Schizosaccharomyces pombe: one gene and its partner. Changing the gene in region 2 together with the main gene of any one other region gives a genetic interaction. Each region holds a gene or a part of one and is shown on either strand. Other genes may lie near its edges. The genes, in order: mms1 and cul4.

Evidence for each region.
Region 1: mutations in cul4 (region 2) and mms1 impair growth when combined (synthetic growth defect), as found in Schizosaccharomyces pombe (one study listed by BioGRID).

Annotation. Positions count from the first base shown.
Region 1 is NC_003424.3:588,826-606,448, reverse strand, and holds mms1 (E3 ubiquitin ligase complex subunit Mms1), read left to right. Parts: upstream 1-8,922; 5' UTR 8,923-9,171; coding exon 9,172-11,549; exon of another isoform or gene 11,550-11,589; coding exon 11,590-11,678; exon of another isoform or gene 11,679-11,717; coding exon 11,718-12,472; 3' UTR 12,473-12,548; downstream 12,549-17,623. Other genes in the region: poly(A)-binding protein Nab3, read left to right, coding at 1-1,011, 1,094-1,434, 1,490-1,953; SPOM_SPAC3H8.08C (transcription factor), read left to right, coding at 2,698-4,389; prefoldin subunit Pfd3, read left to right, coding at 4,964-4,974, 5,024-5,122, 5,167-5,566; inositol phosphorylceramide synthase Aur1, read right to left, coding at 6,265-7,533; SPOM_SPAC3H8.04 (chromosome segregation protein), read right to left, coding at 12,690-13,706; img2 (mitochondrial 54S ribosomal protein mL49), read right to left, coding at 14,894-15,031, 15,203-15,382; csr102 (sec14 cytosolic factor family phosphatidylinositol transporter), read right to left, coding at 16,190-17,524.
Region 2 is NC_003424.3:3,445,133-3,461,935, reverse strand, and holds cul4 (CLRC complex subunit, cullin 4), read right to left. Parts: upstream 8,992-16,803; 5' UTR 8,881-8,991; coding exon 6,676-8,880; 3' UTR 6,189-6,675; downstream 1-6,188. Other genes in the region: nde1 (NADH dehydrogenase), read right to left, coding at 3,008-4,663; dpe1 (dipeptidyl peptidase), read right to left, coding at 12,343-13,572; SPOM_SPAC3A11.11C (pyridoxal reductase), read right to left, coding at 14,424-15,428; proteasome regulatory subunit Rpt5, read right to left, coding at 16,491-16,803. UniProt on the Schizosaccharomyces pombe protein: Required, indirectly, for activation of ribonucleotide reductase through the degradation of the protein spd1, thereby supplying deoxyribonucleotides for DNA replication and repair. Also has a role as a scaffold for assembling ubiquitin ligases.

The DNA of each region.
Region 1 (17,623 bases), 2.9 Mb from region 2:
TCCAATTTTAGAGTCAACTTCTTCCGACTTTCAAAGTAAGGATTCACTTTCCACTACTCAACCAAGTGTTTCGGGGGGAAACGGATCTACCTCTCAAAGTCCTCCTTCACTCGACGTTGAGCAAAATAAGCCTTTTTCGATATCCAATGAACCAGTGGAACAAGAAACTGAAAACTCTTCTACTAAAGATTTACAAGTATACGATTTTCAGACCGCTTCAGAGCATTTACCTGAACAATCCTTACAAAACACCACTTATTATGATCCGTCAAAAACTTATAGCTCGGTGAATTTTGAAGAAATTGAATATGGAAAGTCTCATGAGAAATTAGATTTACCTTATAGAACTACTGATTTTATTCCCTATTCTAAAGACTTGTCAACTAGTCCTGAGGCTCACAGGACTAGTATTTATTCGTATAGTGCTAATTTGCCCAATTATTATAATGAGCATAATGAATTACATGAACATCATAATCCCCAGACACCCAGTTCCCCGGAATCTGCGTATAGTCCTGAAAATTTGCAACTTAATCATGAAGCACAAAATGTTGAATATTTGGGTAACAATGCTGCCGAGAAATCGTTGCAAATGAACTTAGAGGATGAACAAAGATTTCAACAATTTTTGAAAGATGAAGAAAGTATAATGTCAAACTGGTATCCAGGGCAATTTCCTTCAGCTTCTCGCTTATTTTTGGGTCATCTAAATACAAAGAGCTTATCTAAACGAAATTTGTGGAAAGTTTTTAAAATTTATGGGCCTTTAGCACAGATAGTTTTAAAAGCAAATTATGGTTTCGTTCAGTTTTTTACAAACGAAGATTGTGCTAGGGCTTTAAATGCGGAACAAGGCAATTTTGTTCGGGGTCAAAAGCTGCATTTGGAAATTTCTAAAATTCAGAAGAAATATCAAAATCAAATAGAAAACATGAAGAAAGGATCACATGTTACCAAAAGTAATCAATATTCTGAAATGATTGGAAACCTTCCTTATCCCACTAGTAGCAGGTAAGGAATTATCGTTGCTGCAATTAATTTCGCAAAACATCGCAATTTTGTTTGTTTTTTTAGCCTTGCTAACGTAATACAGAAAACGCACGCGATCTCCTTTAATGTCGAAGGGTAAATCCTACGATAGAAAGGGATCTATATCCATGTCTAAAAACTTCAGCCCTGATTGTGAAATACTAGTCACGGAAGACTGTCCAAAGGAATTTGTATGGGGAGTGGAAAAAGTCTTTCAGGAGCGTCGATTGAATATACATACCACTTGTTTGTACCGTGACTCAAACTTACAAGTCATTATTAAAAGCTGTATTATTAACAGCGTTAAATCCATTATCTTGATAAACGCCGGTTTGGCTCACCTAGGGAAGGTGTCGGTTCAAGTGTTTAAAGACGGATCTAGCGATTCAGAAGTCCGTTGTGATGGTACGTTGAATAAAGATATATGTGTTTTGACAGAACTCTAACTTTGTCTTTATAGAATATGCTGCTGTGGACGTGATGGTTGCTGCAAGTATTGTTCACCACGCAAAGACTTCTCTCATGCACTCAGCTGCTTCTAGTACGCCATCGTATAATGGTGAGCGTATTGTGCCTGACGTGCCATCTCCCTGTATATCAACGAATCCTAATCTACCAGCTTTAGTAGGTTCTTTAGATTCTGTTAATCTTCACCATTTATTAGGATTCATTCAAAATACCTATAGCACTACTTCATACATTCCAACTAGAGTTAGTTTTAATCCTAATGATACCGGAGGATCATTTGGAACAATTACATCTCAGTCCCAATTTGTTGTGAATGAGATGCCTAAAAATTATGCTCGTGATAATTACGAAGCATTGCATTCTCAAGAAAGCCGCCAAAGGTCTTCAGTTGCTGGAAACAAGCAACTTCAAAAGATATTAGAGCAGCTCGCAGAGCTCAAGCAACCTGATTTTTGATATCTGACCTTAGAAAAGGTTTATATATATTATTTGTTAACAAGTGTTTTAGGTAGCACTTTGTTAATATGGTTTTGCGATATATATGTCCTTGTCTTCAATATTTATTTCACTTTTTTCTCAGTTATTCTTGAAGCATTTATATGTAAAAACCAACAGACAAGTAATTTTTCTTGCTGCACGGACTATCAACTGTTCATTTGTATTTTTTTCGATGCATACAAAAAATGGTAATAAATCGTTAGGAAGAAAGTTTCGATACTTGATTTTTACTGATTAAGAGATTTAGCGAGTAAAAATTAATAACAACGACATATTTTTATTATTAATTTGATGATCATGAATGTCAAATGTCCTTTTAATATTTTACTACTTAGGTAAACGTGCAGTTTAATTGATCTGATAACAGCGATGCACTGCTACGCAACGCCGACTAGTACGTTGTAAGCTTAGTAAGTAAGTAAGTAGTAACTTTTATATTATAATCTTTTCATTACTAGTAATACAAGTGCCTCCCAATCTGAAGTTGCAATTAAGGAACTTTATTTAAAGTATATTATCAGGTTAATTTTTTTAATTAGAAATAACAACCGCTGGTCGGTCTGAATATCAAGGTGCTTTTAAAGGATTCTCTAAAATAGGAAGTTTTGAAGGATCCTCGTTTTATTTTGTGCCTCCACTTCAAATACGGAGGCAACTACAATTGCTTGAAAGGAAATTATCAAGTTATCAATACTTCTAATAATGTCTTCCTCTCCTCCAGCTTTAAAGAAATTTCGAAAACGCAGCCCAAAATCATGTTTAATTTGTAGGCGCCGCAAGGTCAAATGCGACCGTCAGCAGCCTTGCTCTCGATGTAAAGAAAGGAACGAGGTTTGCACTTACGCAGATGATACCATTGATAAAATGAACGTCGGACCACATCCTAGTCATAGCGAAAATGCTTCTGATTCTGAAACCACACTGGAAGTTTCTCCCGATATTAATCCGAAAAAAAATGAGAAATTTGATTTTTATGGATGGAGATCACTCTTTGAGTTGATTAAATATAGAAAGGATAGCGACATGTGCTCATCTCGACCTTCGTTTTCAATTCAGGCTTACAGTAGCTATAAAGATAATGTGGTTGTTGAGAGTTTGGCGAACCTTTTACCGCCATTTTGCATATCACAGAAAATTGTTAATTTATTTTTTAAAACACTAAATGTTGTCTGTCCTATTTATGATCAAGAGACAGTAGAAAAAAGCTTAAACAACATTGAATCACCAGAATCTTTTTCGTACGAAGATGCCTTCACTTTATTACCAATTATTGCTGCAACTATCCAGCTGAGCGATTTGCCTGATGTTATTCTCAATTTTTATAATTCGGCGGGGATTACTCCATTGGAATCCAGCCGTCTTATAAATTTAAAACTTAACGAGATATCCGAGCAGGAATATAAACATTTATGCTTGCCTGATAAAGAAATAATTCAGATGCTGCTTTTGCGAGCGTATGCAACAAAATTTCGCACAAGAATAAGAGGAGTGAATACTGACTTATGTAGAAGCATTCACGTATCAACCTTAGTAACTCCCCTCTTCCAAGTTACGGAAAAAATAGGAAAAAATACGTCAGATTTGTGGTTTGCTCTCTGTGAAATTGATGGTTTGGAATGTGTATTAAAGTACCGTCCGCCATTCATTCAACACGACACTTATGGTCGTCTCAAGCCGCTTCGTTGTTTTTTTAATGACGATATTAGCTACAATTTTCATCTACTTCTTGGAAGGTTACTTGATTGTGGTGTTTCAATCTATAAATCTGTTCATTCACTCACCGTTAGTAAATTCATTGATAAACTGGAGAGTTATGAATCACAGCTTTCGCTTATTTTGGTAGATATAGAAGCAAAGTTTTATGACCCTTCTAATGAAGATATTCAATTTCGATACATATTTTTGAAAATGGTGTTCTGGACTGCACGTGTGAATTTGTATCAATGTTTTATTACCCTGGATTCAGGGATTTTAGAAGATGAAGAAACTATTATTGGTAATTTGGGTGAAAGTTGTATTCAGTGCGTGAGGCTACTCATATCTCAAATCACTATATTAGAAAAACGAGGCTGGCTTTTGGTAGCGTTGTTGGAGATTATCCACGCCCTCATGTTGGCTGCGTTTTGCCGTGATAAAGGCTTTGAGGTGCCTTCTGACTTAGGTGACATAACATTATATGTACAAGAAAGAATGGTTGATATCGTAACATTTGATGATGGCATGGCTGTCCGATTTGGATATGTTTTAAGATTCATCAACAGTATGTTACACCCAAATGAACCGCCTATGCAAGATGCAGAACCTGAAACCACGGAGGATCCCTCTAAATTATTCGCTGACATTTTTGATTTTACTTCAAATTACTTTATACCGTCCGCCCTTCTTGATCAGTGACCTAAACGAGCACTTTGTAATTTTTTTGTTTGTATGATTGATTAAATTTCGATTAATGTTCCAAAGTGGTTCTAATGTCAAATTTATCTGCTCTTTTAATGACTCTCGTTTTTTAATGTAACTATTTTTGGTTCAATATAGACCATTTAGGAATTAACTTTCTTACTATCCTTCTATAAAGTTGTCTTTCAAATACAATTTTTTCAACAAAACTGCCTTTTCCAAACAGAATATGTTTAACTAAAATATGTGATTTCAAGTAATTAAAAAACGTTTAAAAAGTTTAGTGATATAAAACTCTCGCTAGTACTTTCAAATGAAAATGCATTACGCTGCGCAATGGTTCTATACAGGTTATGGTTGGTAAATTGGATGAATAGATTTTGCAACAATTATCAATTACATGTGTATAACCAAAATATTCTGCCTATTTAGACTGTGTAGTTCAGACTTGGTTAGATTTGGTAATTAGGGAATAATACGCATTTCCAAATTTGTAACATTACTATACCTATTACCTTTGACACTCAGTTACCTGTTCAAAACAACCGCCCCTTTTTCTGTTGCATAGAGAATGAGTTCTTCGTATGTACTGAAGTATAATACTTTTTAAAAAAATAACTAATATGAATAGAAATCCACGGGGAATTCCACCCGCTCAATTTTTTGAGTTCAAAGAGTTATCTATGGAGGAAGCTCAAGGTCATCTCGAAAAGTTCCAAGAAGCAATTGCGTAAGGATATATATGTTATTTCATATTAATATAATGTAATTTAGAAAGTACAAATTCATGGAGACTAGTGTGGTCAGGAGAGTTGCTAGTTTGGATGACAAAATTCCTGACATTCGAAAAACGTTACAGAGTGTTCAGTTCTTGAAAGAGCGACAAGGTGACTCTTTTACTGTTACATATGAACTAAATGACACATTAAATGCAAAAGCAGAAGTAGAAGCTAAAGACAATGTCTACCTTTGGTTAGGTGCAAATGTTATGCTTGAGTATACGGTTGAAGAGGCAGAAGCATTGTTAACGCAGAAGCTGAACTCAGCGGAAGAAACATTGAAAGCATGTAAAGAAGATTTGGAATTTTTGAGAGCTCAAGTCACTACAATGGAAGTGAATACAGCTCGCGTGTATAACTATACAGTTTTGCTTAGGAAAAAAACAAAAATGTAGTTAGTCAAAGCTGCTTAATTTCTTTATAAATGTTTCCAAAATATATTATCATTTTAACACATTTGCTTATCCTTAATGTCTCTTTAGTGTGTGTAACAAATGATAGAAAAAACTATATTATTATAACAATATTCTTATTTTAGAAACGTATAACCAACATTTGTATAAAAACGCTTTACAGAATAAAAAAGGATTACATTAATGCTCCGTTCTGGATTTTCGTGCAAACAAGCAATAAACTAAATGAATAAAACAAGCCTTCTCACACACATTTCAAACCAAATTTAAAATTATGTCAAACGATTTAAATCACAACAAATAAGGAAAATGAAATTCTAAATGTGTTCCTTTCACAACAGTTGACAGTGTAAGAAGCTGGATAAAAGAGTTCTTTATTAACGGAAATGATAAAAAAACGACAAATACCTATACATCACACTGGAAGATACCCGGCCTAATCGCTGTTAAGAGTTTCGAAAAGGAAGTGGAGACCAAAAGCGGTATTAATACCAAAATAGCTTCCTTCAAAATTAGTGATACAAATTAATTTTACAAATTGTAAAGAATGACTCAATGGATGTCAGATTAACAGTTAAAAAACACAATGAACAACATCATTCCAATACCACTATGAATCAAACCGATTCTAGTCAATGTATCATGTAGCTTTTGGAAATATATTCTTAAAGCACGTTGATTTAAGGAAGATGACTTGCATCAAAGATGGAGGAAGTGGTACTGGCAGGACGATCAATCAAATCAGCAGCAGGACTAGGTAACGGCTCAGGTGATGATGAACCCACGGACCATTCATGATCGGTGTTAGCAAGTTCCATATTGTTAAGACCACTCATGAAGGCTACTGCATTAGGGTTTTGAGTAAAAGAATCCCTTCCAAGTAAGTATGGGCTGCCGGTACGAGCCAAGGAGTTGCTGGTTTTTTCGGAAAGACCATGACCGTGGATAACAAACTCGTATTCCCAACGAAGGATTTTACCAGTTTGCAACTGTGGGAGGCGTAGCTTTTGAGCAAAAACGAAGCATATAATAGCTAAACACATACCGCCGACCAAATCTACAAAGTAGTGGTGGGTAAGGTACATAGTACACCAGCAAAGCCATAGAACATATCCATAAAAGCAGAAGCGGTATCGAGGAAACACATGCGAAAGGAAAAGTGCTTCCAGCATGGCCCATCCAGCGTGAAGAGATGGAAAGGCACCAAAAACAACCGGAGAGTTAGAAAAACCATCAGTGTAAATGCTAGTGCCGAAGAGAGCATCAATACGGGCCAATCCACCAGGAGAGCCACGTACTGCATACGTGGCAGGTTCTAAACCATACATATTTTCATACCAAGGAGGAGAACAGGGGAAAGCCATTTGGATAAGAACACCAAATAAATTCATATAACCAAAAGTTCGAGCCCAAACTGGAAGAGTTCCAGGAGGTGCAAAGATGAAAAGAATAAATGAAATGATAAAAGGAGCCGAATAATGCATGACTCCATATGGAACCCAGGCCAAAATATCAAGGATGCTATGCGTGGTTTTCGAGAGAAGACTAGAAAGATTAGAGCCATAAAGAATATTTTCAAGTGTGGGTAAAACACGAACCCATATGGGTGGACGCCAGCGTTCTGGAATAAACCTACAAGAGTAAAATAAAATTGCCCAGGTGATGATAACAATGGCAGGAAAAAAAATTTGGCGTGTTAAAGGAACGGTCAACGCAATGGCCAAAAGACAGGCAATGCCAAATTTCCCCCAGAATCCAGGAGATTCAATGACAATACAAGCAAAAATCAAATTACCTGCTAGAAACACATATTGCAAATGTGTCCATGACCATTTCGTATTGCGTAGCAAACGAAATGTAGGCATAGGGTTTAAGCTTGTTTCCAACTTGTATTGGGATGCTCGGTTACACGCAGCAAGGCGCTTTTTTAAGGTCGAAAGAGCAGACATTGCTTCAAAGAATTATCAGAGTAAAAAAGGGAAGCGTACGAAAAAAATTTCGTAAGGAATTAACCGGAAAACTAAAGGAAAAAAAAGGAATTTTTATGAAGGAAAGAAAGTAGCTATTAAATGCAAGTGTCAAGCACTTAAAAGTAGCGATGTAAAATATTTAAAAAAAGATGGACCGATTAACCAATGTTCAGCTCACAGTTGCCAGCAATCAGGGCTATTTTTTTATTTTTTTTATAAAATTGCTAATTATATATAATATAATTAGTTTATTAACTTGCTTTTCCTCAAAAAACCAATTCGAGAAAGGAACTTTTGCAGAGGCAAAAAAGCTTCTCCGAAAGAGATACTAGTTTAAAAACCTTTGGTTGCAAATACAAACCAAAATACTCCAATTTAACTATACAATTGGAGTTAGTCGATTTCAATTGCCCCGTATAAATGGTTCTTTAGAGGTTGGTAGTGGCGAGCTGAGAATGGTACGGTCGGCTAGTATTTGTTTAGGTTTGGCAAGTGGTGTTACTGTAGCGCAACACAAGATAGCCTAGCGAAAACAACGTTATTTCGAAACTCTAGGTAATTGGAAGATATTCCTTCTCAGGTAACACTATTCGGCAACGGCAGCCAATAAAATATTTGAAAGCTAAGACTCGTTATTAAACAATAAGACACTAAGCTCCATATATAATTACCGTATCCAAGTTTACTGCACGGAAATGAGAAAGCGGAAAGTAAATCAGAAACAATTTTAGCGAAATAAAATATGAATTTCGATATAATAAGATAAAAACATTGCGGTTGAGGGTAGTATCAGATGAAGCAAATATATTATTGTAACTAAATACCTTAAGCGCATCTAGGACACGTACTTAAGCATGGGTCTATATATTCAATAACTTAGCAATGTTACGAAATATTTAGGAGGAATAGTTTTATGCACTCTTTAATACTTCAAATTTTACTTCCGTCTATATCTGTTGAATTAAGCATTCAAAATGACAATTGACAACATTAAAACAATGTAAATCTATTTGGAAGTACTAATTTTTGTTTTCGATTTCTTAATTAGGAAAACAAAAAGTGCCTACTTGCATTTTCACAGCCTTTTTCTTTGGATTCTGAATGTATACATTAGCACCCTGTTGATAATTCTTTCACGTAGGTAAAAAAGACATCATTAAGCTATTGATTTTAAATGGCCGTAGAAAATTCAAACTGTCGTAGGTCAGACAACACTTCTCTAAAGATGAAACCAAATCGTATATTTGTTAACTAGAAATCAAAATCATATATCGCATATTAATTGTTATCTTAATTTTTGTGTTCCTTAGGTTCTCGAAATTCCAACGATGGATATTCTTACATACATTCAACACAACCCAACATATTAACTCGAACAAGCCATGGTTGGTTGTCAATAATCCTTTCACATTTGGAGGAACTCGTAAGGATCTATCTTCTAAATAAGGGCGTTATATATATTTAAACCTGTACATATCTATTTTCATTGATTTTAATGTTTTTTCCGTATTTGCTAATTTCTTTGATGCATACGATTAACTAATAGCTTTTTCTATTCTATCAAAATTTGACTCTAATCAAATTAAATTGGTTCCAAGCGTTTAACTTTGTGAATTCATGGCAGAAATTATTCATCATTCAAACGTATTCACCTGGGCTTTTCATGTTTCCGAATATGATGGTGCTCCTCTCCTTTTACTTGGATCTTTTTCCTCTGTAGCTTCTGTGAGTTTAAAGCGATCTGGTGATTTACTACTTTTTGAAAGATTCACGTTGCCTGCAAGAACGAGGTCTGTTGCTTTGTTATCAAGCCATTTCCTTCAGTCAGAATCAGGTAGACATTCAATAGCGAATATTTTAATTGCTACTGAAAACGGAAAATGCTACTTGTTGCAGCTCGTCAAAACACCAGAAAAAGCGTTTCCGACGATTCGTATTAGAGATGAATTCGTTCTTGATACTCGAATGTACAACCATGAACAATTAGGAAAATCAATTGATTTATGCCCAAATGCTTCCTTGTGGGCTACTAATTCTTTTGCTGGTGATATTGTATTTTTCTTTTCACATCATCCTTCCTTAAGCAAGCAAGTCTTCGCTCAACTTTCTATCGATGGAATAATACTTCATACCATATTTGTACCTCCAAAAAGATCCTCTTCGTCTTGTGTTACGTATGTTTGTCTTTTTCTAGATTCAAATTCGAATCCTAGAATCAATGTTTATAGGTGGTCTAAGACGGAAACCTTTTCTGATGCTAGTTCTTACATAACCTTCTCAATACCGGTTCCATCCGAATTTTCTCTTGCTTCCCATATTATCCCTTGCTCCAATATTCCTGATCATTTTTTAGTATTATTGGAGACAAAGATTTGTCTGCTTTCTGTCCCACAGATAGAATGTGGGGATCTAAAATTTTTACAGACCGATCTTCCATGCAGCGGTTCACATAATTATCCATTGTCTATTGCAAATGATAACGAAACTCCGAATTGTTGCTATTTAACCTACGAAAATGGAGATTTGTATCGCATTCGTTACTCTATTTTGTCTATTGATATTAATTTAATTGGAAAGACTGGATCTTCTTTAGGAAATTTGATACTACCTTGTTATCCATACATTGTTTTTTGTGGTGACTGTTCTGATACATTAGTGTATGATGTTTCGGTATCGCCTATGTCCTTTTTTGGTAGCTTAATTGCTTGCGCTCCAATGTGGGATTTTGTGTATTCCTCATCAAGGCATAACACTTTGTTGGATGAAGACATCAATTGTAATACAGTTTATGCTACTGCTGGCATTGGTAAATCTGGGTGTTTGGTCACAATGCGTTACGGGTGCTCATCCACTACTTTGCTTGAAGCAATATTAACTGAGGGAGCTGTTTTATCAGGAATTATAAATTCTAACCACAACTCTGAATTTTACGCTTGGCTAACTTATCCTTGGCAAACACAAATTTTAAGGCTTCATCTCGATGGGGTCGTCGAAGATGTTACCGAAAGTCTTTTTTTGGATGATATAAAAGCTTTATATGTTATAAATTACCAAAATACGTTTATCATTATTACGGGAAAATCCATTTATGCTGTTACTCCTAGTTGTACAAAGTATAACCTTCTTGAGGTTTCAGGAGATGAAGAATTTGTTTTGGCTGCTTATAACGAATTAATTTTCATCGTTAAAAAAGATTTAATGAATTTCAAAAGTCAATTGCTTACACTAAAACTAAATACTCTTTCTAATGGTACACTTGAACTTCAGTCGCTTCCGGATTCCTTCGATCTACACGATGTCCCTACTTGTATTACTTCCTTTTCTTTGGAAAGAAAGCTACTGGTGATACTGGTTCATCCTTCACCTTATTTTGAATGCGTTTTCTATGATGAAACCTCACACTCTAGTGTCTATAAAGTCCCCTTAACAGGTTTTCAATTTGGATACCTTCCTCATAGCATATCGTATTTGAGAAAATCAAACCGCGCTGTTTATGTATTGATTTCATCCAACTCTACTCTTTTAACCGTCTATGTAACTCTAACGTTAGAGGGAGTACCGGATTTTAAAGTTTACTCTAATCCTATTTCAACAGACTTACCACTCACGTTACAGTCACCCTCCGATGAGTTTTCAACAATTTATGCATGGTCTGACTATTTGTATATAGTGGGTATCGATATGGAAACTGAACAACCTACGCTGAACCAGATACTTGAAGTAAATGACAGTTTTACTTGTGTTTCTGGTATTTACGATATTCCAAATAAGTTCCAGAACAGTGAATCAAGAATCATAGTGTATTATTCGAATAATACTTTGTACCTATCGGAACTTTGGCTTCCACAGCGAACCTTTTCTTCAAAACTAAATCTTGCAGCAACTCCCAAGAGATTACTTGTTGATAAATATACGAACACTTTAATCATTGGATGTTGTCACGTTTTAGTAAATGAAATTACAACCTCAGGTCTTGCTTTTTACGACTTGACTAAGTGAGTTACGTGTTTCTAGTGCCTACTAACAATTACACAGCTCGCGACTTTTCCCTGTCAATTGGCCTTCAATGGATATTAAAGGTAAACCAATATTCAAACCGGAGGAATTATTATATTCTATGTCTTGTAAGTTAGCTTTACTTTAATCACCTAACGATTATTTAGTTTGGATTGTAGCCGACGATCAAAAAAGAAAATATAGGTACCTTTGTATAGGAACAGGGGTACGAAAAAACGGATTAACTACAGGTCGTTTGTTAATTCTTACCATGAATAAAGATCATGACAGCAATGCTATAGAACTTCGCAATGTCATCACAATTAATATGAAAGACCCTATTTATTCCGTTTGTTCGATCGGAAAACATGGATTGTGTTATGCAACAGGACGAAAGATTGGTGTAAAGATGTTGGACTTAGACTCAAAGAAGTTTTGCAACAGTGATTGTGAGTTACCTGTTCGGTCTCCCATTGTATCGATGTCAACGTATAAGGACTATGTGTACACTTCTAGTTTAAGAGATTCTGTTGCCGTGTTCCAGTATGATAGTGAAAACAACTCCCTTAATTTAGTTTGCAGCGACACATCATCGAGACTAGGCATTGATTGCTTTTACATTTCACAAAAAAAATTATTGTTTTCTTGTGACAAAGACCGGTTATTAACTTGTTTCAAAGTTGAGGGTGAAGTTTGCACGTCTACCAGAGAACAAATGCTCCAGCCAATTCTTACTACAGTGTCTCAAACAAAAACAAATGCCTTAACTAACCATTTAAAGTATTCAGTTATTCGGGTGGATAAAGATAATCATAATATTGTTTGGGGATTGATGGGTTGTACTTTAGATGGGAATATCTTCAAGATCTTAATGCCTAACGATCCGACTTCGTCGGATACAATTATCTATTCTGATACTTAATGTTATCACACATTAGAAATTCCAATTTACAACAATAAATTTATCAGAGCAATACTAATGAACAATTTTTGGATGGTTTTAAATGACGTAGATAAGCAAAGAGTATAATATTAAATTAATTTAATATAAACTTGGAACGCATGAATGTTAATTTTCATTAAAAAAGAGTTATATAAGTCAATAAATCTTTACATGTCAGCAGTAAAAAGTTGGCTAGCTATCGACAACTTTCTGACAGCAGTGTTTCATTCACAATCTTCGTGTTCCCATATAACCCGCCTAAAGATTGCTGGACAAAAATAATTCTTTGAGAGTCATAAAGGTAATGGTGTCCTGCAGAAGTGCAAATAATTTGTAACTGTAATCCAAACTTTAAATGACTTAAAATTTTCCCACTTTTATCGTCTAGTTGCTGAAGATAATGTTTCTGGCGAATCCAGGTTTTAGAGCAATCAACCATACTTGAAACATTATAAGGCACCAAAAAAACTTTAATGACTAAACCGTTAGTTTGTCGAAGTATTAGTTGTAATTGCCCAACTGATGGAATTCTATATCCGAATGGATAGCCTTTATTCATGACTTTGTCGCTTTTTTGACTTCTCAGTCGAAATCGACCGATATAAGGAAATTGCACATTATCAACATTTCCAACGAGTGAGTAAGCCACAAAATTTATTTTTAAATGTGGCGGGAAAACAAGTGAAGGCTTGCATCGGCAAAACGAAATAACCCCAATTTCTATGGAAAACTCAAAAGGTACTGATGAACAGTAAGGCATGTGACCACTAAACAAACTCTCCTCGTATGATCCTATAAAACCACTCCTTTGAAAGCAGTTCTTCAATGAATAGGTATTTATACCTTTGGCGTTAAGAGAATGTTCAGCAGAAGCATCAATTGGTTGTTGTTGAGTTATATAATCACCAGACAATAATTTATTACAACGACATGAACATCTCGTGAACAGATGAGGCCCATTTGAAGGTTTAACAGATTTCTCATTGTTAAAAATTTCGAATTTCAATGGAGAATTACAGAGAAAGTGGTTGTTCGCCTTACTATTACCAGGAAAGTTTGAAAAAAAGTCTTTCATCTGACTTATCGATTTCAAATTCATCCATTCTTGTTCGATTGGAAAACTCCTGCTAGTAGAGAACAAGTTTCGAATATTTTTGTATAGCAATTCATTATTTTCAAGAGACGTTGATGTCGCACAATAACAAGCTGGCATTAATAAAAAAGAAAAAGAAAAGGAATAAAAGGCTTTCGATAATCGAATACAAATGAATGCGGTTTGTTCGCATTCAAGGAAAGTAAGGTATTAATGTCAAGAAAAAACAAAACAAAAAATTCAACACGGAAATAAAGTGCCTTATATCGTGTCAATGCTTAACCACTTTTTGATAAACGAAAAAAAAATAACAAAAAAAACAGAAAATCATTAAATCATGGATAACCGTAAGTATTTTTCGAGAAAGCCTCAGTTCACTAAAGAAAATATAATTCCCAACATTAAGAGTTATTCAGCTTATAATCACCAATAAAAAAGGGATAAACTACAAGGAATTTTCTTCTCGTGAATAATTAATTCATAAGCAAATTGTAAATCAACGTCTTCAGAACAAAGCAAAAATTTTAAAAGCTAAAAATGTTTGTCAAAATATTCCTATCACAGACAAATCCAAGTTCAATTCAAAAATAATGAAAAAGTCGTTGAGATTTCAGGATTATAAGTATGTGTGAAGGGAAAGGTAAAGAACAGTCCATGGGCGTATGACGCAGATATATAGATTATGTTTGAAGGTATGTTTTCGATATAGCATTTAATATTTGTCAATTTACAAACTATACAATATTGAGAAAAGAATTTTTAATTTAGTTATATACCCTAATAGCCTTAAACGTATTCTGTCTATAACTACAGTCAAAAAATAAAAACACCGGAGTTTCGATATATATATTATAATTTCCTTTAAGCGTTTATAAATTCAACAAAACAAACGAATAGGTAGCAAAAAAAAGATTGTATTTAGCATTTGGACGCCTCACATTAAGCAGATGTTTGAATTTCTTTTTACGCAAGTACCTCTTGAATGTTTCTACTGAAGCTCGAATAACTATTTATTTAAAGGTAGTTAAGGAAAACCATCACAAAAGATGCATTTTTTCCATTGTCAAGTTTGAAAACCACGTATGATGAGAAGAAATGAATCGAGATTAATTATTTGCAACAGCTGTGTTTTATTTGACATTATCACCGCTGTAACAAGGAGATGAAGTAAAAGTAATATGCTAAAAAGCCAAATTGATATATATGCTCGAGAGTTTTATGTTGATAAAAAGCAACTTTATCATTCCTTTGAAAGAAGGATACGTACATACATAGTAACAATCTAAAAAAGGAAAAATTCTAGGAACTTAAAAACCTTGGTCTTGTAACCATTCACGAACTGTGACTATGTGATTTCCCTTTAGGACAACTTGATTTGTTAACTTGTTTACATAAACATCTTTCGGTGACATTTTAAGTGTGGAAATGAGCCTGAGCCGCAAAGCCTATTGATAAAATATTGTTAGAAAAAAAAAAGAGAACGAATAAAAGAAGTTAAAATAAACTTGGGTTGGCCGTTAAAGCAAAAAGTTGATAGAACAATTTCCGCAGCATAGTGACTTTACTTGTACTTTCTTTAGCCAAGAGATTACTGCTGACGGAATATGTATACTTACATTAGAATCACCATGGATTTTACGAATTAAAGTCAGAATTTTCGTTCCTCGTTGTTTGTAGTCTAGATAGACTGGGAGATTTTTTGAAGGTGTACGTGAAACATGAAACCGAAGTGATTCGGATGCAATTGTTGAGTTGAACCTCAAATTTGATAGCACTGGCTTTAAGGATGATCGCATTTGGTTCAACAAAACTTTCTACGAGTTGCAGGAATTTATGGTGGATGTGTAAAAGAAGTCGTCGTGCATTCGCGAATAAAGAGGATTTCTATCATAACCTCCAAAAATTTGTAAGTTTTAAACAACTGTCAAACAGGAGCCTAAGATTAAGTGATTCACTAAGAACAATTAAAATAAAATAAAACGCTCTTGTTTTAAATAAATTTAATCGGTGCTTGAACCTCACGCGTGTTTAAACTCGAAAGTATTTTTACGGCACGGAATATACTTCAGCGAAGGTGCATACTCATTAAATTAATACTATATTTTGGAGTAGGCATTTAGGTGTTCAGCTTGTTGTTTTTTTTAATTTCGAACCGCTTTCCTACAATAAAATAAAAAATAATAATAAATAGCAAGAAATCTAAGTTAATTTGCAAATAAAACTGATCATTGATTCTAATAAAGACAAAATGGATGGATAAGTATTGCGACCAACAACTTCAATGAAAAGCCATAAGACCTAAAAAAAGTTATCCCTTTCTAGATGATTTTAAGTGCATTAAAGAGAGTGCTAAAAAATTAAAGCGATAAGGAAATGGTAAAACGAAAAGGGGTGTAAAAATCAACGTAGGAAAGAGATTTCATATGTAACTAATTGATATAAAAGATCTTGAAAGTTATGCATTAATAGATGATACAATCATATTTTGAGCCAGCATCTTATTTAGAATAACACGGGAAAGTACAATTAGTCAGTATACGGGAGTATAGGCAAGGGGAAGGATTACAATGTAAAATAGCAGGAATATTGAAAGTTACGACCGACTAAGTTGCCGAGCTAGTAACTTCTACCATTGATTCTTTGACATCTCCATTTGTAGGTTGAGAAAGAAGCAAAGTATGGGAAGTTTGAGGAGCAATTAGGCCCATGCGGTCGTAAACTGAGCGTGCGCGGATGTATTTATCCAAGTTCCAGTATGCATCAATAAGTTGTGAAGCTAACTTACGACGTTTTTGTTTCACTTCTGCCATGTCACCATTGTTCAAAATCCAATCCATTGTAACTTCCTCGTACTGTTTAGCAATTGCATCCTTTTTTGCTCTAAGACTCTTACGAGCTTCAACATTCTTCAGAGCTTCTGCTTCGTTTTGACAGGGTTCTGGATATGTATATCTCCATGGATTAGGCCCACCGAATTCTTTTAAAATATTGTCAGGATTTATATATTGTTGCAAATCACGATAATTACGAGTGAATTTAACCTTTGAGACAACCACTGGATCAAGCCAAGATTTGATGATGGACCAAACGCCTTGGAAAAGCCAAGGCGCTTTGTGTACAATACATTCACCCAGACATTCGGGATAGTGTGCTTCAAAACACTTGATCATGAATTTCAATGGCCCATAGTCCATATTGGACATACTGAAATCAGTCATATCAAAAACAACAGTAGCAGTTTCAATAGGAGGTTTGAGAATTAAACGAGCAGTTTCCATGACCCAAACTGTGAGTCGCTCAACCGATTCGGGTGAGACATCACCAACTTTATGAAGACGTGCGCGAATATAACAAACTGGACGATTGTGTTTATCTTCACCGAATATAAAACACTTTCCGATTCTTAGTTGACGCACAAAATCATCATCTTTATCAAGGTGGTCAGCGTTACATACAATTTCACCAACATTCATCTCTCTACTTCTCCAGTGAACGGTTTTCATGAACATTTCCAACGCAGCCTCAACGTTCCATTTTCGAGCACGAAGGAAACGAAGTAGAAGGCCATCAGGATCATCACAATTAACAGCATCCCAAAAGCAAACTCTAAGCCCTTCCGGGTCCCATTCACTTGCAATTTTTTCAACTCTTTCCAAATGCACATTTTTGGTTTTATCATTAAAACTGCGAGTGTCCGAGCCATGAGATGAAGACGTTAGTTCAAGTCGTGTACGGGATTTCGCATATGAGACGCTGCTTAAACGATGTGATGAGGAACTACTTGAATCATCAGATAAGTGTGTCTTCACTGTGTACCAAGATTCAGTTCTTTCGAGTAAAGTAATGCCGAAGAGCTTAAACAAATAACTCCACATAGTCTTCAACTTCTCTTCTTCAAGTTCTGTGAGATTCCACGGTCTACCGGCTCCTTCAGGCATATTTAATAAGTAAATTGCGCGCAAACAAATATAATCTAGAAAAAGTCCAAGGAAAAAATATATCAGATGAAATCAATATTAATAAAATTGAACTCAATT
Region 2 (16,803 bases):
TTAAATCTTCTTTGTTTTCTTTCTCTTTTGTACGAAGTGATCATCGAAAAGATAGAGAACATCGGGGTTTCCATTTATGGGCGATAATGTATTTTTAGAGCCTGATCCATGGGCATCTAGCAGTAATTGGGGTTCACCAGTGAAGCCTTTAAATTATAAAACAGCAATTGGTTAGTAAAAGTTTTGTTCTTCTGTTTTTTCCTTCTCAATTAATAGTTAATTTTACGGATCGATGCATTCTATCATTGATTTGTTTCTTTAGCTTGATTTTTTTTTTTTTCATCTTTCTTGCTTTTTTACTTACTTACTGTAATGATGCTAACCTTTTTCTTTTTCTTTTTTTTGTCTATAGGTAATTCATCCATTCCTTTGCAATATCGAAATTATTGGGACGTGTTTCAAGCAAACAATGTTCTCTTATTTCCAGAAGAAGAAAGTTATTCTGATATATTTCATGTTCCTCAAGATGTAATGAAAGAGTTCTTTACCTTGATTGAATCATCAAGCAATCAACCCTTACGGCAAATTCAGTTTTTCGTTTTGCTTGCCTTGGTTGCCTGTTATCAATTAGGTGTTCCTAGCACATTGGAACAGATTTTCAAGCAAAGAAATGGTAAGGCTTTTTTTTATCTTTGCTTTTTTTTGTCTTTTTGCTTACTTCCTCCTCCTTAGTCCTGCCCATTTTGCAGCGTTTTAATCCGGAACTTTTCAATCGTAGTTCTGATAATGAAACCCCTCTTTTTCCTAATAATTCTCCTCCTGCTTCAACAACCGCCTTGAATCTTTCATCCAACATTGTCCCTTCCATTAATGAATCAAAAATTTTAGAACAAGAGGATGACGACGTCTCCAATAAATCCCTCCCTCACGCTCAGCAAAGCATCATCCGTTCGTTTCCTGATATTCAAAAGCAGCCGAAAGGATTCTTTTCCTATCCTTCTTCAACTGTCAGCAGCATTGCACCTTCGACTTTAGAAGCAGGTAACTTACATTCGCAACAACCTCCAAAATTTTCCGTTGATTCTTCTGTCGATGATAATGCTATTACCCCTAGAAAGCCCTTTTCGAAGATTCCTAATCGCCTTTCCCCTTCCACTCAGCCGTTACTGTCAAACAGTAGACATAGTTCGTTTAGATTGGCTTCCAGTTCAACTTCATTTCCCGCTAGTTTGGAAATGAATGTTGACATTGACCTTGAGCCTAGTGGTTACTTTTTCTATCGCCATAATAATTATATTATATCTGATTCTTCTAACACTCGTGAAGTTCTTCGTCGATACAGTGATTTCTTTTGGTAAGCTCTCCGAATTGTTTGGATATCTTTTCCATACAGTTATTTTCCTTTTCTCTTTCTTTCTTCTAACTAGTTCGAAAGGCTACATTCTTACTTGATGAAAAAATATCCTTTTAGAAGAGTACCATTAATACGTAAGAGTTTTTTTAGTTTTTTTTTTTTTTTCAATTTACGGCTTTTAACTTACTAATTCTTTTAGCGCTAAAGAAATTTCACTGTATGCATAGTTAATCATCCTTTTCAATCCCAACAATGCTAATATATGTCAGTTGCGAAGCGAAATGCTTCAACTCAAAACAGTTTTTTAGAACACCGCCGCCAGGATTGTCCGACTTTGTAAATGACTTATCTCATCATCCTATTTTCTCCAATGATGAGGTTGTCCGAGTATTTTTTACAGAGCCAAATGTAAGTTTTATTCCTTATAGATTTAACTAATTGCTCTCATGAATTTAGGTCTTCAAAAATTGGAGAAGGGAAAATCAGAAAAGAATTGACCAAGAAATTGAACAATTCCTAGTGGTACCTCAAAGTCAAGTTCCCGATGCCTCAGAAACGGTTAAAGAAAGGCTTTTAAAATTGAATATGTCTACTACTACGGCGATAAATAACCAGCTCAACATCTTCAGGATCTTTGAGAAAATGATTTTTACGTTACAGCATTTTCATGAAGATTTTCTGAGACTGCAAAATTCTTTCAAGTAAGTATTCAAGTTGGTCACGTTTTGCTAATCCTTTTCTTAGTTGCTTACTTGATAGTGGATTGTACCATCAAGTGTTTACTTCTACGTTTGCTCAAAATGAAAGCAAAATTATGTCAATGGCAAGTGGTCACTTTTATAACATTGATTCTCTCCTGCATCAACAAAACGACGCTGTCAAACATACATTTTTACTTGGCCTATCAAAGGAAATTAAAATTCTAATATCACTGCGAGTAAGTAGTATAATCATTATTTTTTTTCTAATACCTTAGCTTTTAATTGAAAGAATATCGGAAGTATTTTCTACCGATTTAACGAAAGTACGGCATACAATATCGAATGATGAGAATTTACTTCGTGAAACAGCAAATAGCGACGAAAGTGGAAGAAATCGAACATTTTTGAACCGAAGTTCTAAGAAGAGAGCTGAAAATAGTCTTAAAAGTGTATGCATGAATCAATATACTTTTCACTTTGGAATTTGTTTTAACGAATATTTAGAAGAAAGAGCTTTACTTGAAAAATTTAAATCAAAGGTACCAAATAGCACATGAACTCGAACAGGAACTTTCCTATTTGCAAGACTATGTATTTAGTCTGGGAAATCCTTATGTTGAATATTGCAAACAGCATGTTAAACTCGAAGAGGAGAGTCTAAAAATATGGCATACATTGGAAAGTGATTTTTCTCGGCTTGAAACTTGATTATAAAATTGTTTGCTAATTGCGTTATGTTTATCTAGAACATATTTAGATAATACGTATGTAGAGAACATTTAATTTAAAGGTAATATTGCACGATGCTTAAATTATGTACACGTGCCAGAATCTACTACAAAACAACTATAAATATACTCTTAAACTTGAATGTTTACGAACGAATAACAATCAATTAATCGGTATGTAAGGAAAACCAAATTTTTCGGTAAACCCAATGAATAAAGCAAGACAACAAATATCATGCATTAATCAAACAGGCGAATCACAAAAATGTCTCATCAAATCCAATTTAAAGGGAAGAAATATCACGTCCAAATAACTTAACTCTAATCCAATCTAGTGTAACATTGGTACGGTTACGCAAGGAGTATAATTCAGAAAGGTAAACCGAACGCCAGAAGTAGAAGGCAAGAGCACCGCTTGCATGGAGTTGTTTTCCAAACCAGGGAACTTCAATATCGGCAATAGCTTTCTCATGACCGACATAGGCGAGAGAACCTTGGTGAGAGTATTTGAAGGGAAGGAAGACCTTGGTAGAGGCATGCTTCTCATTTGCTAAAGAGATAAGTGTGCTGGAATCCATTTCATCACCGAGGGCAATGTGTCTATCTTCGCTAGGCTTCTCAAAGTTCAACGATCCAAGTTTGTTAAAAAGTTGACCGAGGTAGGCACCTTGCTGTGAAGCCACTTGAGCAGTGGGAGCATAAGCGGTGTGAGTGCAATCACCTAGAGCGAAAATGTCCTTGTAACCCTTCAATTTTAAGTATTCATCGACTACTAAACCACGTCTGTTATTTTGCTCTTCACTACCCTCCATGAGCTTTTTGGTAAGAGGGCGGGCACGGTTACCACCAGCCCAGACCAATAATCCGTAAGGGATAACCTCTTCTTGCTTACTTCCATCAGGGTTTTTAACTTCAACATGGATATTTTCAGCAGTGACCTTTTTTAGGGCAGTATTAGTTCTGATCTTAATATGGCTGCTGTCAAATAAGCTTTGGGTATAATCACGTAACTTGGCGCTAAACATGGGCAAAACAGAAGGTAAAGCTTCGACAAGAGTAACGGCAAAGTCATCAGCAAGTTCAGGATACCAGGATTTCAGATCATCTTCAATGAAATCAGCCATTTCACCGGCAAATTCCATACCAGTAGGACCACCGCCAACTACGACAGTATGTACATATCTGCGACGAGTTTCAGCAGGAAGATCCTTAAACTGTGCTTGTTCGAGGCAATGAAGGATACGAGCGCGAATCTTTTGGGCATCCCAAATTTCCTTCAAGAAACAGCCATACTCGGCGATACCGGGAATGTTGAAGGTTTGTGTTTCAGCACCGTGAGAGCAAACAAGATAATCATACTTGATTTCCTGCTCTAAATCGACTCCATCAGTGGTGGTTTTCTTGATATGGATGACCTTTTTGTCGGCATCGACGTCTGTACATTCAGCCTCGTAAAATTTAACATAGCAGGACTTATGACGGAGCATATAACGAATGGGCTGTACAATGCTTCGAGTATGAACGGAACCAGTGGCAGTAGAAGGCAAAAGAGAAGTGAACAAGAAATAGTTTCTAGGGGAAACAACGATAACGTTAAAGAGAGAAGTATCAATAGTACGAAGAATAGAAGTGGCACCCCAACCAGCACCAAGGACGACCAAAGTCTTTTTGGAAGGATCGGGCAAAGGTTGATGAGGATCAGGATGACGGAAACGGTAGACATTGGCACCATAAAGAACAACAGCCGTAGCGAAAAGACCTAATGTAGTACGTTTCAGGATCTTCCACTTACTTGTGGTGCTCTTGGGAGAAGAAGCAGCATCGGAAGCAAAGCGCACGCTGTTTGCAAGGCGAAGATTGCGAGAAGCCGATAAAGCTAAGGGAGATTTTGGAATGCCAGCCTTTGGCATTCCTCGGAGAATAGACCGAGAAAAAAGCATACTAACAAGCAACTACTAGAAAACTTCGAGAGAAACAAAAAAAGATGCTAACTTATTATGTGATAAAAATACACAAAGAAGAGGGGAGAGAGAGGGGGGTAATAAGTTATCCACAAACACAATCAAGGAAAGTTAAAAAAATTGTGGATATCAACTGTTTGCTTGAAAAGCCTTAAGAGGGGAGATTTTTAAAAGATGAAGAAATGGGTCTTTATTTTAACAACAAAGAAAATATATCAGGGGTAAAATAATATTCGGTCAGTTGAAGAAATGGATAGGATCAACAGAGGCCGCAAAGACTGAATAATTAAGTTGAGTTGGGAGGGGGTGGTTAAAGTGACTCCGAAGAGAAGCAAACTACAAAGAAAAAGAAAAAAAAATATAATAAACCAAGTACAACACTTACGGCGTACTCAGCTATGTAAGTGTGCTCCTTTTATACACTCGACGATTGCGCAGATAAGCGTCGATTTAATAAAACGTATTTTCCAAAGGCTGATATGATATCCTTGTAGGTAATCAATCAGTACAGCCAAATGGTAAAAAATGAGCGGTAGGTGTAATGGTAGTTGTCAAAGTCGGACAGGGTATTTTAACGACAATTTAATACACGAGCGAGACTATTTTGATAAATTGTACGGGCGGATCCGTTTGCGGACTTTTAATGATGACTCCCGTAACGCTGACGACATGTATCTGCACAGCGATTCATGGCCCGCCTCTGTGAAAGAGGGAGCGACCATTCAGCGATTCCAGCCGCGTCCGCTACAACATACCGGACATTGTTGTTTCTTGACTTCGATTAGCAATGTAAATAAATAGAGACGCTCAAAAACACCTACAAAACCGATAGTTTCAAAAACTCATATACAGTTGCTTCACCTCAAAAAAGGTTCTACCTTTAGTCATGGTCACAGGGGATTGTGGGGTGCAACTTTTTCACAAACTCTATGCATGCGCAGCGGCGTAACCGAAAATTCCCTCATTGCATCTAGAGGAGCCATGTCATTATAAAGAGACGTATAACGTGATCTAACACCAAGCTCGCAAAATCTGACAGCAAAAAATACCAACCGCGTTATCTAATAATACAGTAATACACTTTAGACAACGTTAATGAAGACAGGACGCGCGCGCATCGCTTTTGATTTGTGTTTAGTCTGTTAGAAGCATGCTGGGGTAGATGTGTAGGTGAGAAGCTAGGTTATATAATCAAAGAAGATCAAGCAAACTAGAATCAATGGTAAATTCCTTCTCGTTTTAACTATGTCACTCCATTCTTATGAGGGAATTCGTGACGGACAAAACAGAAGATACCGTTTATTTGCTTTCACCTAGAACTGATCAAGAAGCTTAGAGAATCAATAACGCTAAATGTCCCAATTTCCTACGCCAAATACTTCAACTTATTCAATTTATTGCTTACATAGGAGTGTTTTGATGTTGGTTCTGAATACATCCAAACAAACACGTGTTTCAGCTACATCTACATCAAGTAACACACACATCACTGTCACTTAGAGATGTAAATAATGAATAATATAAGAGGTGTTTATGGGCAGGAAAACCAAAATAGAATACCTTGGGCTTTACAAAATTAATTAGATTTATTAAATTTTTACTTTAGATTTTGTAAATAAAGGTGTTCTATAAGTGTGATAAGCAGCACCACATTCCATCCATGTTAATCCTTACATTGGAAAATGCGGTACTTAGCGCGAACACTTTCGTAGAAGGCAAAAATGCAAGGTACAATTTTAGAATGAACTTTGGAATTGTTCCTTTTCCAAACTGATTGGAGAGCAGTGCAGACTTCCTTGAATTGGTTTCCAGATTTCAATAGCATTACTTGACACGGACAGGTAAAGAGGTGTGTGTATGAACGACATATGAGAATAGAGAAAAAAAATCCACTGGAGATTCACCAGCAAATAACAAAAAGGATGGAAAAAGAATAAACATATAACCAGAAAAATTAAATTAAATCAATTAAAAAACAAATGCATACTCTATTAGGTGACATATGTATAAATATCATTATCCTCGCGTTCTAGATACTCTTTCTCTAGTAGTTTTTCAATGGCAGTTTTCACATCAGACACCAAGGGTATTCCCCGATCCTTAACATTGTTTATAACGTATTGAACTAAATCGTCATGCTTCATTTTTTCCTTTTGTTTCATTACTCGAACGATACTGGCTTGCAACTCAAACTGTCGATCTCTCACTACTTGTTCTTGAACATCAGAATTTTCTTGCCGCTCTTCCTTTAAATAAATTTGGTTAATTTTTACACGATATAACTTATCTGTAAACTTTTCATTAACATAAAACATGGTGTCTGGACTGGGTTTTTTGCTTTTGGGAACCATCACTAATGGCCGAATGCGAGCACAACTCAAGGACTGTAATGTACGAGTCAAATCGATATCAGAGAGCTCTGTAGATTTTTTCAAATCTTGATACGAAATCCCTTCTCCACCCAAACAATTGTTGAATTGAAGTAAGACACAGGCTTGGAAAAGCGATATACTTAGTTCCTTATTGCCCAGTGGAAATCGGGCTTTTACGATGCAATGTCCTAGCGAAGCGTACCAACTGATTTTTTTCCCAACCTGCTTTGAAAGGTAAAATTTTTCAAAACAATCCAAATCCTGTTGCATATCATCTGGAAGCCGGATATGTGATTCTGGATAAGAGGGCCAGTAAGCTTGGGACAAGACGTTAACATACAAATCTCTATGAAGGTTATGAGCAGCCTTTGAGTGACGAAAAGAAGAAGTAAATTCTTTTGAAATGTTAACGTCTCGAAACATACCCTCCAAAGAGTGAGTAAACTGACTACCGCAGGTTTTCTTAAGCATATCCAGAAGCATTAATTCATTTTGCGCACTTGCAGATTTATTAAGGAGAAGCCGTTTTGCAATGTCCAGCTTGTAATACGCCTCAAAGATATCTTTACTAGCGATGTAGCGGAAAAGATCCAAAATTTCCGAAAATACTTCTTTCAGAGGCTTACCCCCTGAAGCCTGTTCGCCAACTCGTAGCAAATAATCAATGTATTTTGCAATAAGCCTAGCTGGAGCTTCTCTTTGAGATCCCTTTGCCCCATTAATGAACGTCTCGAAGGCTTTTCGCATGGCATACGAAAGGGTTTCATCATGAAGGAAACTTTCATCCACCACGACTTGTAAGAATTTGTGGAACGATAACAGCTCTTGAACCAAAGTATCATCCTTTGATTCATCGTTAACGAGCTTGAAACCAACGTCCACTAAGCAATCCGACCAGGGCTGAATTAAATATTCGGTTTCATGATTGAATTGCAGTAATGCATACAGTAGTTTACAAGAATGGGCATCCCTTTTTTCAATGAACTGACTTATACCCTTTGTGAGTGTGTCAAGATGTGAAGTAATTAGACACCTTTGAACAGTCTCTCGAATGGACTTTTTATCGCGCACAATATCAAACTTTTCAACGTAGGCATCCTCCCGCTCAAGCGAACTCATCGCATATTCCAAGTACTCTTCCAAAGGCAGCTCTTGAATTTTTTGGCTAGACTCCGTATCATAAAAACGGCTTAGCATAACTAAGTACATGGGAACAAACACAGAGCTATACATTTCCGTGCGATGTAGCATTAACATCGCATCCTGTAAATAGGCGTGATCAGTGCTTTTAGAGCTATGTAAATTTTCAAAGCTTTGGAGAAGAGAGTTCAAAAAGGGAATTTGTATGTTTTTGACTGCCATCAACTTTTCACGAAAAAGTGACAGAGACAGCTCTTCGATTGTCGGGTAATCTGGATGGTGAGAAAGAAATGTTTTGTCCATGTAATAGAATATGTTTTGAACAATCTCGACTCTTTCCAACCATTTGTTCCAACACCCTACTACTACGGTGCATGCATTAGTGTCTGTTTCAGTCCCTTCAAGCTGTATAAAAGACTCCGCAGAATCCTTTAAAAGCTGGATTCCTGAAGACATATGATGTTGTAGGATGTTAAAGCACCGAGATGCTTGATCCGCTCTTGTTAAATTTTCGACTCCCGAATATAACTCTTGGTAACCTGTTTTTAAGCCTAAACCGGCCATCACTACTTGCAAAGCCATGTTCAAACGATCTATCATCGTCACATAGTAGGTCTCTTGTCTTTGCCTCGACTTTCGTGGGTCAAAGCCTTTAACCACGATACGTTTTGCTTCTGGAGGCATAGGTGTGCTAATGTGAAATAAAAAGTAATAAATAGATGTGTGGAAAGCCTGAGCTCTTTCACTACTATAGTTTCACCTGCAAAAACCAATTTTGTGCTCAAGTAGTGACGTTCAGAAAAGTCGGTTTAGAGCAGCACATATAGACAAGGTACGAAGTTCCTATTTCACTTTCAAGCTATTTTTTTGTGTCCATCTCACTAAATAAGCCTTTTTTTTCACTTTAGAAATTCTTCAGTTTTTTAGAGATTTTCAAGCTGCGACTCATTGCAATTAGCTAACTATTGTTTTCCATGTTTATCCTCCACTATCCACAACGAACGCCAGTTGTTGAAACAATTGGGTGCTTGAGTAAACTATTAGCTTCTCTATAGTTTCTATAAAGTTTTTTATTTGTCTTTTTGTTTATATAGGTTTGAAATTACAAGGTCAGGTTGACTTGGAAAGAGAATGGCATGGAGTCAAGTCGAGATTTCCAAACCACATCTAGCATATGCTATTATAGGAGGATTTACTTCATTATTTATGTTATGTTCTTTAATTATTAAGGAAAAGCTTTTTTTGGGCGAAGCAAGTAAGTTATTAGTGGTTGCAAAGCACAATTGTTTGATTTGCGTGTTGAAACGATACTTGAATTGTTTGATTTAGCTGGTAGTAATTCCAGATTATTCTTTCGGTTTACGTTCGTTAAATAAAGAGCGATCTCTAGATATTTCAGTGTGCATATTCCACCATATTATTTTTACTCTTCAATTCTTCATATATGTGAAGCATACTAACTTAATATAGCTATGGCAACTGCTACGGGTCTCATTTTTGGTCCTTACGTTGCAAAACTGTTTGTTCCCACCAGCTGGGGTAATACCGACTACATCACCGAGGAACTTGCTCGAGTCCTTTTAGTTGTCGAAGTTTTTGCAGCTGGCGCTGAACTTCCAAGAGCATATATGCTTCGACATTGGCGCAGTATGTTTGTTATGCTTTTGCCTGTTATGATTTTTGGATGGCTAGTAAGTACTGGCTTCATGTATGCTTTAATTCCCAGACTCTCTTTTCTGGAGTCATTAGCTATAGCGGCATGTATTACTGCGACAGATCCAGTGTTGGCTTCTTCTATTGTCGGTAAAGGTAAATTTGCACGTCGAGTCCCAGGTCATCTTAGGAACATGCTTTTGGCCGAATCTGGATGTAATGATGGCATGGCAATTCCTTTTCTGTATTTAGCTATTTATTTAATTATTGAGAAACCTGCCCGACATGCTGGCCGCGATTGGGTATGTATCATTATTTTATACGAATGCACCTTTGGCTGTGTGCTAGGTGCAATAATAGGTGTAATAGCCCGTAAGATGATTAAATTTTCGGAACGTCGAGGATTAATGGATCGTGAAAGTTTTCTTGTATTCTACTTCGTTTTAGCACTATTTTGTGGTGGTATTGGTACCATCATTGGTGTCGATGATTTGTTAGTTTCTTTTTGTGCTGGTGCTGCTTTCTCTTGGGACTCATGGTTTTCGAAAAAAACAGAAGAATCTCATGTTTCCAACGTTATCGACCTTCTTCTCAATCTTTCCTTTTTTGTATACGTGGGTGCTATCATGCCCTGGCCTCAATTTCACATGCCACATATGGATTTGAGTGTATGGCGACTCGTTGTATTGGCTATATGTATTTTAATTGCAAGGAGAATTCCTGCCGTTTTATTATTTAAATCATTTGTTCCTGATATTATCAATTGGCGAGAAGCTCTCTTTGCTGGTCATTTTGGTCCTATTGGTGTAGGTGCACTGTATACTTGTTTGGTTGCACGAGCCGAATTAGAAGTACATAGCACTGTACCTGAGCCTAATGATGCTATCGAAAACCCTGAAATTCCAAACTGGTATTGCATACAAGTAATGTGGCCAGTAGTTTGTTTCCTGGTTCTAAGTTCTATCATTGTTCATGGAAGCAGTATTGCATTTTTCATGCTTGGTAAAAGGATTAATACGTTGGCTTTGTCGTTTACGAGAACAAGGGACTCTCATTTTGCTTTTAACTTACCTCGTGTTCGTCAAGGACAAAGCTTACCAATTAAAAGAGTTGATGCGTTGCGCTCCTCTGCCAACTCTATTGCTTCTTCCATAAGAAGGCGTCATCCTGTAAACATTCAAGAAGATGAGGATGCTGATATATCAACTGTCTCGCTTCCTGAAGCCGCACATCTACGGGAAGAACGTGCTGAATCACCACGCGGAGGCCACTATGACGCTGAAGAATTTCCTTCTGAAGACTATGAATCTCGGCAACCTCGCCGCTCGAATGAGGAAGATAGAGAAGAAGAAATGAATCCTGGTGACGAGACATATCTTATTGGCGAAGACTTGGTCGTTGAAGATTCTCAAGGAAACATTATTTCGCATACCAGTTCTCGAGATGCAAATGGACCTTCAATTGATGAAAAACTCGCTCAAGGGGATCCGAAGGCAAAAAGTTTTGGTCGCAAGTTTCGCAGTTTCTTACGACGTTCCTATGATACTTTTCAACGTAATTTACATGAGCCGGACGACGAAAGACAAAGGGAACCCACTCTTGGACATATTGAGAGTTCTATTGAGAATCATAGGCCTAGATACTCAAGGCAAAATTCGGAATCTCATTTGCGTGAAAATAGTGTAGAACGCCGTCGTCGTGAACAAGTTCTTACTAATATTGGGGACAGTGAAAGTGAGGATGATAACATACCCAGGCCTGGTATAGTTCCATTTTACAACGAGAACAATGAAAGCAGTAGTGATACGAGAAATGGACTCTTATCTGACAATGTTTCCGAATCGCGCAGTCGTCGACCATCGCGTGCTCCTTCTGCCGCAGTTAGCAGTGAGGGTTCTCCGGTTGAAGAAGATAATGAAGCTCAGCATAGGCCAAATATTCGATTTTTGGAACTTACCCGTGCCTGGGAATAATAACCGTAGGAGGTCACATTCTTCATATCGAAGGGGATCGTTTAATGCTTATTCATAACTGATTTTCAAAAGTGTGTTATTTTTTATTTATTAAAAAAATATGTTTGCTAATGCAGTGGTTTCTTTTATTTATTTGATGATTGAAGGGTCTATGGGTGCTGTTAAAATCAAATTTCATCAGTCTTTTATCGAGTTTTTCTATGTCTCGCATTTGCCAATTAATGAACACATATCGGATAACTAACTCTCCTTTTTCTTTTTTATATTATTGGACACATGCGTAAAAATTATACTGTGGAAAATAATCTCAAAGCAAACAAAAATTTATTACATTAACTAAGAGAGCTAGTTAACTAATAGTAAAATAATCGATCCATCAAGGGGCATAAAAGAGTAAGCAATAGGCATGGTTTGTCGTTAATCGTAAGAAATTCATAACCGGCAAAATGGAATAATACAGTAAATTTTTCCAAAAATAAAATAAAGAGGTAGAGGTAGACTTATTAATAAACGATTAAGTTTAAAAGTCGTCTTCCCACTCCAAAGGTGGCTCATGAATTGAATGCCCGAGATCTTCAGTGGTCTTCCAAACACGAAGCACATTACGGCCTGCAATATCTGCTAATTCAGTGATACTGAGACCACGCTCAGCCAATTTAACAAAAAGATCAGGATACTTGGAAACATCCTCGAGTCCCTTGGGCACCATATCAATTCCATCGAAATCACCACCCAAGCCAATATGACGATACGATCCAGTTACATTGGCAATATGCATTATATGCTCAACGACGGTATCAATTGTAGCATTTTCAGGGTGTGGACTAATGAATGCAGGGTAAAAATTCACCATAACAACGCCATCAGTTTCCTTGACGCGAATCAGAACATCGTCAGGAACATTTCTGGGATGATCATAAACCCCTTTAGCGGAACTATGTGAGAAAAATGCGGGAGCAACTGATACATCTAAGGCTTGATGCATGGTCTCAGGTGTGGTGTGTGAAAGATCTACAATCATACCAAGACGATTCATTTCACGGACAATATCGCGGCCCGCAGGAGACAATCCTTTGTTAGTACGCTTTCCGTCAACCGCAGCATCGGCGAATACGTTGTCACAATTGTGCGCAAGAGTAGCATAGCGAACGCCAAGATCGTAGAATTGGCGTAAAATGGATGGGCTTCCTGCAATCTGGTGAAGACCTTCAATGCCCATCATACTTGAAATGTGATTGCGTAAAAAGTCGAATTTGACCTTACCGCTATGATCAGTCAAAGAGAATGTTTTAGGGTAGTATAGAGCCATCCTTTTAACAACATCGATTTGTTGAAGAGTCTGTGTAACAGCTTCATATTCACCTGTGCGATTCCACGAAAGAGAACTATTGGAATCCAAGCTAGGACATTCGACAAATACAGACCAGAATTGACCCCCTACATGTCCTTGACGAAGACGAAAAATGTCAGTTTGTCCAGGAAGGTGCTCAAGCGAAATATTTAGAAGGCGATTATCATAATTTTCACGAAGATATATTGGAAGATCATTATGCCCATCAATTAAAGGAAAATGAGTTAGTACAAAGTGAGCCTTTCGTTCAGGAGTCCAAATCCATTTGCCTTTGCCTAAATAGCCAACCGCACTCAGAATCAAAGCCGCAATTAAAAGATGAACCTTTAAAATTCGTCTTCTACGAGGTTTTTGTTGGTTTACAGGTAATGGAAGCTCCAATTTGCTATCGGAAACCATCTTGTTCAAAAATGATTACTTGTGCGGCAATTGTTAAGATGTGTGGAAATGTCACGTCGGTTATATATGCTGGGTCTCGATGAAGGCGCAGGATGTTTAATATAATATTTCACCGTCAATTACCAAAAAATTCAATTGTTAAACTAATAATTAGCAAAACTTGGCAGAGATTGAATGTCTAATTTGCTAGTGCTAATGTCACTTTAAATGAGCTTATCTGATGTTGTTATACAAACCCTTCGCTAAGAGCAAGACTACATAGCTAGATCTTAAAAAATTAATCTGTTTATTAAAACGATGTTTACTATGCTATTAAAAAAATAAAACCTCAGTATAGAGTAAAAATGGATATATCATTTCTAAACAAAAGTCGGTATAGCGTTATATACAGAAAAACAAGATGTGATATAAGAAAAGGAAATTTTTTAATAAGACATACATAGAAAGAGAAATTTCGAAATTTGGAATGAGTGTTGCGAGTCAACAATCCCAATTAAATTGAAATGTAGTAAGAAATTTGCAAGAGAACGAAAATGTTGAAGTTTAAAAGAAAAAGAAACGCTTTTGTTTGCAAGTTATGACACTAATAGAAAATGAAAGGATCGTTGACAGTAGTTAAAACGGCGTATCCACCAACAGTTACTCTTCAGTTCTTCTCATTAAATGAAGCACATCCGGGCACATTCCCGTTTTATAAGTATAGAAGAACAAATCTCTCTTTCAATATCATCTCACAAACTTTTGTTGCTCTTTGCATCATATGAAACAAGCAAAATTTACTAATATCTTCACAAACCTAACAAAACCTGAGCAAAGCAGCAGTGGCTATGTGCTGTTTATGGTTTTAACTTTCAACACATACTAGAACAGCCTCCTGTCACTTGAGGTTCTGAATTAGGAGACGCTGGAGGCGGTAAAGTCTTTTCTAGGCAGCTAACAACTTCAGCAAATTGGTATGTATCTAAAACCTTGGAAAATGATCCCAAGCTTGCTTCAATGAGATCATAACTAGTCGCCGATGGTATGGGAAGAATTCTACCCCTTCCGGCTGACAAAATAAAACTCAAGGCCAATTCTGCTAACGACATGTCATATTTTGAAGCTAGCTCCTTCAATGCTTGTATACAAGGAAGAGTCGAACTAAACGTGCTTGAGGGAGGCTGCTCATTACATTGATGATGCTTCTTTAAATTTTCAATGTCCGCCATTGTAGTTACACGACCTGTTAGCAAACCATGAGCCAACGGGGAATGAGCTACAAGAGGAATGGACAAGTCATGGCATAGTTTTTTTACCCCATTATATTCAATCTCGCGAAAGAGCATTGAATAATGGACCTCAATTGCAGCAATCCGCACAACAGAATGAGCACGCTTGATTTCCTCAACAGAGGGTTCACAAAGACCGATACATCGAATGTCACCAGAATCTACAAACTCCTTCAAACAAGCCATCGTCTCCTCAATAGGTGTGTCAGGATCAATTGCAGCACATTGGTAAAGATCAATAGTCTTTACTTTTTTGAGAGTCTCTCGGACAGTTTTGATGCTTTTGGTAATACATTCTCGTGTCCCGTGAACTCGGTGAGTTTCAGGATCAAACGCACCTTTGACTGACAAGAACACCTTATCTATACTATCGGGAAACTTTTGAAAGTACCTTGAAAGAAGTTGCAAATTGGCTAATGGTTCAGAAAGCCCATAAAATTCACCTGCGTCCCAAAAACTGCATCCATGACTTAGTGCATAGTTCATAATTCGAAACGCTTCTTCATCAGGAACAGGATTCTCAGTCCATGTAAGACTTTTTAATCCTAGACCAATTGGTCCAACCAAAAAGTTGTTAATATACGGCATAGTGCGCAATGCTGCCAAACTATACCAACTTCCGTTCCAACGGATGTATCACAAACACGACTACAATAGCCTTAGTTCAAGAAACAAAAGCCAATTGACAGTAAATTAGGAGTTCGGTGAATATTTTCTCAAGACGAAAATGTCTATGTGAACCAGCTCAATGGTGGTGATTTTTATGGCGCTAGTTTGTTCTTGGAAACAACCGGTTACCGATGATGACGATTACAAGTCAAACTGACACCCCAATATAGCTCTCGAGATTTGGAAAGACTAACTTAACAAATCAAATATAAATTATAAAGATTGTCAGAGGTGGATGGGGCTTTACTGAACATTAAATGAAGTACCTTTTGAATATCGTTCCACTGACAAATGGATACATATACTGGGATCAAGCGTTCATACAGTTGTAGAATAAGTATATAGGACATTGAATTGTTTACAAAGAAAAACTTAAAAAAGCTATTATGAAGTTCAATACAGTTAATGATGGGCTTCGAATGAATTAATTGTTAAGAATCAAGCTACTTGGTTTCCAATTATTAATATTTCCAAAACGAAAAAGGAAATGCATACTGGATGTTCATGAGTCATCGCTGTTATTCCTAATCTTTGCAACATAAAGATTTCGTTTTTTAATACGAATGAGGAGAATGGGCAAAACGACTAGGGATATTGTGCCAAACAAACGATTTAATTCAGTAATGTTGATTCAAGTTTCGTGGCAGAAACACATTGATAACCTTATAAGCTTAAATAACACATAGATTGATATTCGTTCCAACATTTTCATAGCTACATCGCTAATCATTACATCGAGCAAAGCTCTTTTCAAATGTACAGTCGTCTGATTCCTTCCAACGTAAACAAATGTACATTGACTTGCTGTCCCACTGGGAGGTCCTTTTTTCCCTTAATATTTACTAGCGTATAATATCAAGCTCCCATGGGATCATAAAAACCAATTTACAAAAAGACAGAAGAAAGATGAGACGGATGAGACGAATGAGATAATCGGGATATATACGGTACCGTCCTCGTAGAAATGAAAGAAAGTAACGCTTATGCAAAGTATTGCAGAGTCTTAGATTTGCGCATTTGTACTTCCAATATACCATCCATAAAATGTTCATGATTAATTTTAGTATCACCTTGACGAAGAGCAATCATACCCGCTTCAACGCAAACGCTCTTCAACATGGCACCATTATATTCATCTGTACTTCTCGCCAACTCCTCCCAGTTAATATCGTCGTCAATGGCCATTTTACGTGAATGAATGCGTAAAATACCAACACGAGCTTCTTCATTGGGAAGAGGAAATTCGAGTTTTCGGTCCAGACGACCAGAACGTAACAGAGCCGGATCCAACGTA